Arabidopsis thaliana: one gene and its partner. The protein of the gene in region 2 interacts with the protein of the main gene of each other region in a pairwise test. Each region holds a gene or a part of one and is shown on either strand. Other genes may lie near its edges.

Region 1 (3,991 bases), on a different chromosome or scaffold from region 2:
ACATCTCGTGTGGGCTTTGAGAGACTCAGGGATCAATGTCTTCAAAGACAGCTTCAAGCTTATAGGAAGTGGACAAAAACAAGAAGTGTTCATGAGTATAGAGAACTCGAATATCGCGCTTGCCATCTTCTCAAAGAGGTATTCTGAGTCATATCGGTGTTTGAACGAGCTTGTGAAGATGGAAGAGCTTGCCAAGGAAGGAAAACTCGTGGTCATTCCAGTCTTCTACAGTGTGAAAACAAACGAAGTGAGAAGACTTGAGGGAGAGTTTGGAATACATTTTAGAAACACAAAAGAGAGATTTGCTATGGAACCAATGATGGTTGAAAGTTGGGAAAAATCCTTGAAGTCATCTACTGTTACAGGGAGGATTGGCTTGAGCTTGGAAGCACACATGTAATAGAATATTTAATAGAACTCTTGTTTTGTAGTAAGATCGACTTTGTGGTAAGGTCGTCTAATCAGTTTCTTTCACTCATTTTGCAGGAACGAATTTGCTCTTGTCGGTGCCATTGTTAAAGAGGTTACAAGATTACTACCAAACTCTCCAAAGAAGAAGAAGAAGAAGAAAATTAGGTATTGGAGAAGTTTTCTTGAGGGCTTTGACTGCTACATTTATCTTTGCTGTCTTCATATACCCTATGCCTATGCCTGATGTGAACTTTTTGAAAATTGGTAAGTTGTTATTAGGCTTTCCGTTTTTGGTTGTTGTCTTGCACAAGATTTTATGTTAATATTAGAAACAAAATGATGTTTTCTCGCTTCTGGCTTGTGGACGCTAACACTATATGTAATGTTGTGACGCACATCAGCTATGTCTATTTGAATGTTATCTCTACGGTTATTTTGTGATGTACATAGTAAACCAATCCATGTCCACACCGCACTGTGTTGAGAGAAGATGGTGATTATCAGAATAGAATTACTATCAGCTCAAATTTATCATCTTCAAAGACGAGAAATTTGCATCCAAGGAAGAGTATAATGTGTAAAGGAAAAGGAGAACCGATACATGCTACGATAAACCAAAGGATGCAATTCAAACAAAAAAGCCAAGGTTCCCTAAATGAGAAGACCTGCCTTTCTCGCAATCTTGGACCTCATTTCTTCTCACTAGCATTCTCAAGCTCCTTCTTTAACTGACGCGAGAAGTCGTCACTGACATCATCATCATCCCAGTCATCTTCCCACTGCAGGCTAACTTCCTTCACTTCCTCTTTCTCCAACCAATCTGCCAAACATAACAATAAAAATATCCATCTTTATCAATTCTTTCAATAAAGCTATTTGTTAAATCTCAAGACTGAACTAACATTGCAAAGCAAAATCTGTTAAAATCAGAAACTGATCCTAGCTTAAGTTGAATTGTACAACTCTCCCCCAAGCTACTCAATGCCCCCAAATAATTCCTAAATCCACCATAACCTTTAGGCCCTTTAGCTCATGAAGCCTTGCCGATTAATAATGCAAACATAATCACCAGTAGTTTGCTCATAAAACTGCACTATTATCCATCAAGTTTATGAGACCGTAGCTTCATCATCATAAACATATATCAAACAGATCCGTTTTCGCATCAGAACTACCCAACTTCATACAATAGAGACTATCTTAGTTTGTATAAGACAGTGCAGAATCAAAATTTGTATTTATACCAAAACCTAATCAATCACCAAATCAGTTGCTAATGAAATTTGCTCTTATCTCCATTAATTTTATAACCGATGATGAATCAATTTCGAAAATCAAAGAAGCAATTAGTATAAAACAAAAAAATCACCTTCGTTGATTTCAAATTCCTCGAACTCATCGTCGTCCTCGAATAGATCCACCTTCACCACTTCGACAGCTGCCTTGGGTTCTGCCGCCATAGTTACAGATGTTTAAGCAAATCAACCAGATCGAGAAAAAAACCTAAGAAGAAGATCACCAAACTCGATTAATTCCTCCAAGTTAAACCCAACCAGAGCTCTTTAAACGAACCTTTTTTTCGTTTTGGGTCTAACTTGAAGAAGGGGAAAATTACCAATTTCCAATAACCGACCCGAATCTTATATGATTCATACCGAATCCGACCCGAATCTTATATGATTCATACCGAATCCGACCCAATATTAAAAATATCCGATTGAGGTTTAAAAGAAGCTGTTTTAGACCGGTCCAATAGTCGCATTCGTCTTGACCAAATCCATGACATACAAACCGGTCCAAAAGTTGTCACGCTTTCCCCACAGAACCCAGCTGAGTCAACTCGTTAGTCTGAGTTAACTCGCTAGGCGTGACAGAGCAGTGAAGACAAAGCAAAGTCCTTTTTCGGATTCCTTCTCTTTCACTATAAGATGACATCCCTCATTACCATTTTTCCTTAAAGCTCACTTTTTCTTCTTTAACCTTATCGCCACAAAACAGCGACATTCGACGCCAAATACATAACATCGTCGTCAACAGGTTTTGTCTCTTATCTTCTTCTCTGCATGAATCATGTTCTTGTTAGACATTTTCTGAGTTCTGGGTTTGATTTTGGCCCAATGATCCATAAATGTTGAAAATCATATTTGAAGGCTATGAATTATGAACATTTTATTTTAACCTTTTTCTAGCTCTAATGAGATAATTAAGTAAAACCCTACTCGAAATTTCTGAACTTTTTGATGCTTTGATTCGTTTCCTGTGATCCTTTACCTAGAGAAAATTGAGATTGATTATGTGACAAGTGACCATCTATAAGAAATCTCTCAAAGTTTTCAACTTTACTCACTCTATTGAGGTGAAAAAGAAAAATTGTGCATTCTGAAATTTTTATTCTTTTCGTTTGTCATGTGAATTTTCGTGTTTGATTTTTTATTAGTAGCAAAATGGCTAGGTCTGGGGTTGATGAGACATCAGAATCTGGAGCTTTTGTAAGAACAGCATCAACATTCCGCAACTTTGTTTCACAAGATCCTGATTCTCAGTTTCCAGCTGAATCAGGAAGATACCATCTTTACATATCTTATGCTTGTCCATGGGCTTGTAGATGTCTTTCTTACTTAAAGATCAAAGGACTTGATGAAGCAATCACCTTCTCGGTTAGTACAAATTCATTGCTCATATCGAATTAGAAGACTTTGTTAACCTGAAGCATTTCTGTTTTATTTGATTTGATTAGTCGGTTCATGCCATTTGGGGAAGAACCAAGGAAACTGATGATCATAGAGGATGGGTTTTCCCGGATTCGGATACCGAGCTCCCTGGAGCTGAGCCTGACTATCTTAATGGTGCCAAAAGTGTGAGAGAACTCTACGAGATTGCTAGCCCAAACTATGAAGGGAAGTACACTGTTCCTGTAAGTTTTGATCTCTTTGGTGAACTCTTTAATCTTTCTTTGTCCTGTTTCTTGAATGTTTGTTTTGTTATTATGTTAGGTTCTTTGGGATAAGAAGCTTAAGACTGTTGTTAACAATGAGAGTTCAGAGATAATCCGGATGTTCAACACTGAGTTCAATGGTATTGCGAAAACCCCGTCACTTGACCTTTATCCTTCTCATCTCAGAGACGTAATCAACGAGACTAACGGATGGGTTTTCAACGGAATAAACAACGGTGTTTATAAATGTGGGTTTGCAAGGAAACAAGAACCCTATAATGAGGTATATATCCCTCAATGTCTTAAACATTTGAACAGGGATTCAAAAATTGATCCCTTTTCTCTCCAGGCAGTGAACCAGTTATATGAAGCAGTAGATAGATGTGAGGAAGTACTCGGAAAACAACGATACATCTGCGGAAACACTTTCACTGAAGCAGATATCCGATTATTCGTCACTCTCATAAGATTTGATGAGGTATATGAGTCAACTTGTCTTCTTTGTTTCCAAATAGAAAATCCATCAGGTTCTTGACATCATCTTTTTCTGCGTTCCAGGTTTATGCAGTTCACTTCAAATGCAACAAGAGACTCTTACGGGAGTACCCGAATATCTTCAACTACATAAAAGACATTTACCAAATA
Region 2 (5,526 bases):
CCGTCAACTTAACACTTGTTCGTTGTCACCAACATATGAAAAATCGTGGACTGCAAAGTCTGCAATCCGAAATCCAGACTACACTACCAAGTAACTTCCGCAGTAAGAAAACAAAATATGGATACTGGATACAACAAGATTAAGGAATTGAGGAGCTTGTTTGGATATGATTAGAGTGTAAGAATATATTGACCCATTACAAATCTACAATTATGAAAATTACATTTTGATTGTATGGATTAAATAGTTGGCAGTTGTAGCTATCAAAGAGCCCGGGTATTATTCTACAGATTTTTGTCATTATTAAGAAGTTAATGAATCGAACCAGAAACACCTATAATTAAAAGCATAACATGAGATTGTTTTATTCAAGAAAATGAGACCTAGTTTGGCAGAGATAGACTAATGTATCAATACACATAATGGTCAATACACATGTCCTGTTTTCATTCTTTAGATATTTATGACTGCTTATCTATCATTTAATGTAAATTATGAATGTGGATTTTAATGGTATGCATCGCCTGGAGATGATAGCATTTCACATGGTCAATTTCTAATAATGACCCACCTAATACAGCTAGCTATAACTACAAGTGTTCAATTCTTAAAATGCGAAAATCTCCCAAACACAATTAAACGAAGTTGAATTTGATCTTCTGAAACCAACAAGATAAATATCTTTTCCTAAAGTGAAACCAGAGTAATAAAAAGGTTCCTGAGGATAAAAATCCTCAATAAAGAAACACTTAGAGACGATGAGAAGAGTACCAAGTAAACTTGTGAACATAAAAAAAGTGAGACAGATGGAGAGTCAACTCTTATAAGAAATAGATGACCTTTGTCTAAAAATCATCATCGTCTTCCTCAGCCATATGCTTAGCAAGCTCTTCTTCCTGTTGCTTCCTCTCTCTCCTCTTCTCATCGCTTTCTTTCTCCTTGTGAGTGTTAGGAGGAAACCTCAATGCTCTGACAGCTTCGTTATGCATGTTGAGGCAGAAAGCAATTCTTGAGTTGAACGCAGTTTGTGGCTCATTCGTCGAGTAGATGTCCCCAGTTTCTTTGGAGACCATGCATCCGTTTTTGTGATCGATTGTAGCATCAATAGCTCCGTCGCGTATGGCCTTTGCCACGATGCTTTCCGCATCAGCCACAGGGTTTTCAGAGTTGAGCCTCAGCTTTTTGGCAACATCGGGTAAAGAGATTCTTGAGTAGGAGATACTTATGTTCCGCAGTCCAGTCCTGATGACATTGTGGCGGAGTCGCACGATGAGATTGTGCGTTCTGTCTTGAGCAAATGTGTCCAAGAACTTCTCCTGGACTGTCCTAAACAACTCCAAGTCCCCAATCCTAACCGCCTGTAAAATCAAAACAGAGCTTTAATAGTAAGCCTCAGATCAAAATCAGTATCAACTATCCAGTTGCATCATATATCTCTAAAAAGCAACAGTAAACAGCCAGAAATTCATGTTCAATATAATTCGAAGGAGCAGAAAACAACAGCAGCAACAAAATTGTGTTTCAAGTGACCACAGAGAGATTTTAACAGAAGAGGTGTATAGGCCAGTAAGTGAAAAGTAGGAACCGGTTTAAAATCAGAAGTGAAGTAGCAAGATCACAAGTGACCACATACTAATACCAGTTTAGTTATCCGCTCATAAATTAATGAATACATGTCACAGCAGCAAGATTATGAAAGTGGACTCACATTTGTTAGCTCGAAGTAGGGTCTGAGGGCCTTCTCCATACCCTTTTGAGTGAAGATAGAACGCTCTGGTATCTCACCCAGCAGTAGACGAACCAGAATTGCCCATTTATTGCATTGGATCCTGAAGCCCAAAGCTGCTATAGGGGCTTTCCTGGCCGCCTGAAGAAGGCTCTCTTTTGCGTCCGTATATTCGAGCTGAATAGTACGAATCTTCCCGAGATAGAAAAGGTACCTACAAAACTGCAAAGTATAATGTTTTAGACAAGTCATCTTGCTGTTTATTCTTTTGAAACAGTAACAATTGAAGGGTTAAAAAAAGAACAAAATTCATATGTAGCAAAGAAAAACACAAGGTAGATCGATGGTAATGGTAAGAGGTGGTGTCAGAAGTATGAAAAGGACAGGCAAAATGGACACTTCAAGTAAGTTCGGCAAATAATTAGTGATTGAAAAGAAAACACAAGAGCCTCCTAGATGGAAAATGCTATAGCGAATAGAAAAAATAATTCTCTGGAAAGATTGCAGAAGTGGCATTGGAGTTTTCATGCAAATATAGAATCTAGAGAACCGAGAAAACTTAGAGTATGAAGGAATAGCCAAGAGCTACCTGTTGGTTTGAATGAGCCTCAAAGCGAGGTGCCTTTGATCTTAGCTTCTCTGCCTGATCATAGAGGTTGTAATGCAAATAGTTACGTAGCAACAGGTTCAGAAGGGTTTCCTGCATTCAACATGATAAATTTGAATAAGAAGCAAGTAACAGTTTCAAAATAATGAATGCCGACTGAATGAGCTAAACAAAGACATACCTGACCCAGCTCATCGTGTCTTAGCGTTGCAGAATGATGCAACGCAAGAAGAGTACTGCAGGTAGAAAAAATGACCAGATTATTAACTATTGAGCTACTGATTAATATGAGGTGTAAGACAAAGTACAAAACTAAAACAGTCTTTGAGCTACTAACCCGCGAATTTCAGCAAGATCACCGGTTTGCTCATAACTCAAAGAATAGTAAAAGTAGAGTCTTGATGCTATCACATCAATGGTCCTTCGGTTGACGTTCTTGAGACGAGCAATGCTTGCTGAAGAACAAGCTTTAGCCTAAGAGATGATTAAAAGCAACTCATTAAAATTAAAATCACAACAGAAAAGTAACTTATGACAAAACACAAAGATACAGCAGTAGTTACCTCGTTGTACTTCTTCTGATCAATCAGAAAAAGAAGAACAATGAAGTAGCAGTAGATCTCGAGCTCTGCAGGTAGATGCTTAGAAGGAGCAGCTTGTGTGGCCGATGAGGCAGTATCAACTTCCATGTCATGTTCATCACCCTAAACCATTAAAAGTTCCAATATTTCAGTCTCTAAGCCAGTTGTATGTTAGATAACTTGCCATTCACAACATCAAAAGAAAGTATAACAACCATAACACGAATCTAAACAACCTAAAGCCAGATGCTAAAAGGAACAACCAAGTTGAGAATTCTGAAACATCAAAGTGAAGAAGTAAAACCCACAAATACCTTAGGAACAAAGGAAGAGAGGCGAGAGTGAGCTTCGGATCCTGGAACCAAAGCAAAATCCAGGAAGGAAGAGAGCACAGAGCCGGTGAGTTTCTGCCTAAGCCCTATAGTGAGACGCACAGCACGAGCAATACGACGAACCTCCTTCGTGTAAGACCCAGTATCGATGAGTGCTGCAATCTCCTTCAAATCTGGGAAACAAAGAAACAAAGCGTCAAAACCCAGAAGAAACTTAGCAATTATGAAAACAGTTCGAGAATTAAAGCATTCAGATCGAGATTTACTCTGCATAGTAGAGGTAGAAGAAGAGATAATCGATTGAGAAGGGGTGTTGTTATCTTTCATCTCCACGTCCTGAGTCATCTTTGCACAAATCTCGTTACTCTTCACAAAGACAAAAACAAGGTTAGGGTTTTTGCAGAAGTATGCAACTAAGCCGGTGAGATTTCAAGGAACCGATTGAAGTTTCAACCAATTTGTTGACTGAGAAAGACGGAGAGATAAAGACAGAGAGCTTACTAAATCGATAAAACGGAATTCGCCGGGAGAAAGTGACGATGATGGATCAGATTTAAGGACGAGCTGATGCTGCTGAGACTCTTTTCTTTCCTAAGTATTTTCCTTTTTTTGGACACAACAAAAAAAGTATATTTCTTTTTGTTCAAGACAGCTTTTTTCCATATTAGTATTTATATCTTCTACATTACGATTGAGCAACAAATGTCGTTGTAGTATAGTGGTAAGTATTCCCGCCTGTCACGCGGGTGGCCCGGGTTCGATCCCCGGCAACGGCGATTAACTTTTTGGTTACTAGTTTTGTTTGGACCTCTCTCACTTATTTTCGTACGCTTTCTTCGAATAGCCCAAAACACAACCAGCGCAAGTTGGGTTAATTTCTTTTTGTCTCAAAACACGTTGGAACTTGGAATTACAATTTTATTATTCATTATTTTTTCTTGTTATCTTTTTATGTTGTTAGAATATATAATCAACTGATATACGAACCAATGGAAAAAGGCAATGCCAAAGGGGGTTGTTTACTTGTTAGTGTCAATACGCCGACGAATGTAATTGGAGTCAAACAAATATCCAAAACTCAAAAAAGAGACAAAACTAGAAAACTCTTGAAGGAATAAAAACTTGAAAATCCAAGATCCATGATAAAATAAATGAGGATATATATAACCTAAAGCGACATGAACGAAAGATTATTCTACGGCAACAAGTTGCTTTGAAGAACAGAGACAAAAACATGAGAATGTAAGAAAGATCCAACTTCATTCAATGACCCTGGTCGCTCATGCAGCAGCCTGGATAGGTGCTCCATTTGATCTGTTGAATCCACCACGGCCTCCTCCTCTTCCACGACCTCCCCTTCCACGGCCACGTCCTGTTCCAACAATTTTTAAACATTTACAACTCATCATTATTTAATGAGAAAACATTAGTGTAACAAAATCATCAACGTACCACGTCCCTGAGGCGGAGGACCATCATATCCATGGTCTGCTGGAGGAGCAACATTGTTGTATCCATAGTCTCCTCCATCTTGTTGAGCTTCATAGTAAGGTGGTGGGGGGCCATTGTAACCTCCTCTTCCTCGACCACCACGTCCACCTCCTCTCCCACGCCCGCGTCCTCTGCCATATGACCGGTCCTGCTCCATACCTCCATCATTATACTCATTGTTCACATATCCACTTCCTGGCAAATCCGAAAGAAGAAATAGCACAAGCCAATCAAACACTTGTCCGCCGATCACATGCAAATATGTTAAAAGGTAAAACTAAGATTTGGAAAGAAATATTCTAAAGCAATTCTACCTCTGCCGCCTCTTCCCCTTCCTCCATCATCATACTCATTGTTCACATATCCGTTTCCTGGTAAATCAAACAAAAAAAGAAATAGCACAACACATTCAAACCCTTATCCACAAATCATATGCAAAAATCTATACTCAAATACGATTTGGCTAAAGATATCCTACCTCTGCCACCTCTTCCCCTTCCTCCATCATCATACTCAACATTCGCAGGTCCATTTCCTGATAAGTCGAAAAAAGGAATTAGCACAGTCCACTCAAACGCTTATCCACAAATCACATGCAAAAGCTTACAACGAAACTACGACACTGTATAAACAATTTCTAAAGTAATCCTACCTCTACCACCTCTTCCCCTTCCCCTTCCTCTTCCTCCTCTACCTCTTCTTCCTCCTCTGCCTCTAGGAGATCCGTCTACAAGAAAGAGATAATTTAAAAACTTAAAAAAGACAGCAGGGCAGGGAGCTTAAAAACGT

Evidence for each region. The genes of interacting proteins can lie anywhere in the genome.
Region 1: the proteins of EMB2719 (region 2) and DSS1(V) interact in a two-hybrid assay, tested with the Arabidopsis thaliana proteins (one study listed by BioGRID).

What each region holds. Positions count from the first base shown.
Region 1 is NC_003076.8:18,166,351-18,170,341, forward strand, and holds DSS1(V) (DSS1 homolog on chromosome V), read right to left. Parts: upstream 2,034-3,991; 5' UTR 1,872-2,033; coding exon 1,781-1,871; intron 1,232-1,780; coding exon 1,101-1,231; 3' UTR 656-1,100; downstream 1-655. Other genes in the region: AT5G45000 (Disease resistance protein (TIR-NBS-LRR class) family), read left to right, coding at 1-396, 487-655; AT5G45020 (Glutathione S-transferase family protein), read left to right, coding at 2,856-3,068, 3,149-3,325, 3,405-3,629, 3,696-3,824, 3,905-3,991. UniProt on the Arabidopsis thaliana protein: Subunit of the 26S proteasome which plays a role in ubiquitin-dependent proteolysis. Also associates with the TREX-2 complex that is required for transcription-coupled mRNA export.
Region 2 is NC_003070.9:7,000,564-7,006,089, forward strand, and holds EMB2719 (PAM domain (PCI/PINT associated module) protein), read right to left. Parts: upstream 3,870-5,526; 5' UTR 3,748-3,869; intron 3,613-3,747; 5' UTR 3,592-3,612; coding exon 3,513-3,591; intron 3,420-3,512; coding exon 3,229-3,419; intron 3,038-3,228; coding exon 2,897-3,037; intron 2,808-2,896; coding exon 2,671-2,807; intron 2,570-2,670; coding exon 2,515-2,569; intron 2,427-2,514; coding exon 2,316-2,426; intron 1,949-2,315; coding exon 1,709-1,948; intron 1,359-1,708; coding exon 846-1,358; 3' UTR 524-845; downstream 1-523. Other genes in the region: AT1G20220 (Alba DNA/RNA-binding protein), read right to left, coding at 4,527-4,618, 4,699-4,932, 5,052-5,108, 5,216-5,272, 5,390-5,464. UniProt on the Arabidopsis thaliana protein: Acts as a regulatory subunit of the 26 proteasome which is involved in the ATP-dependent degradation of ubiquitinated proteins.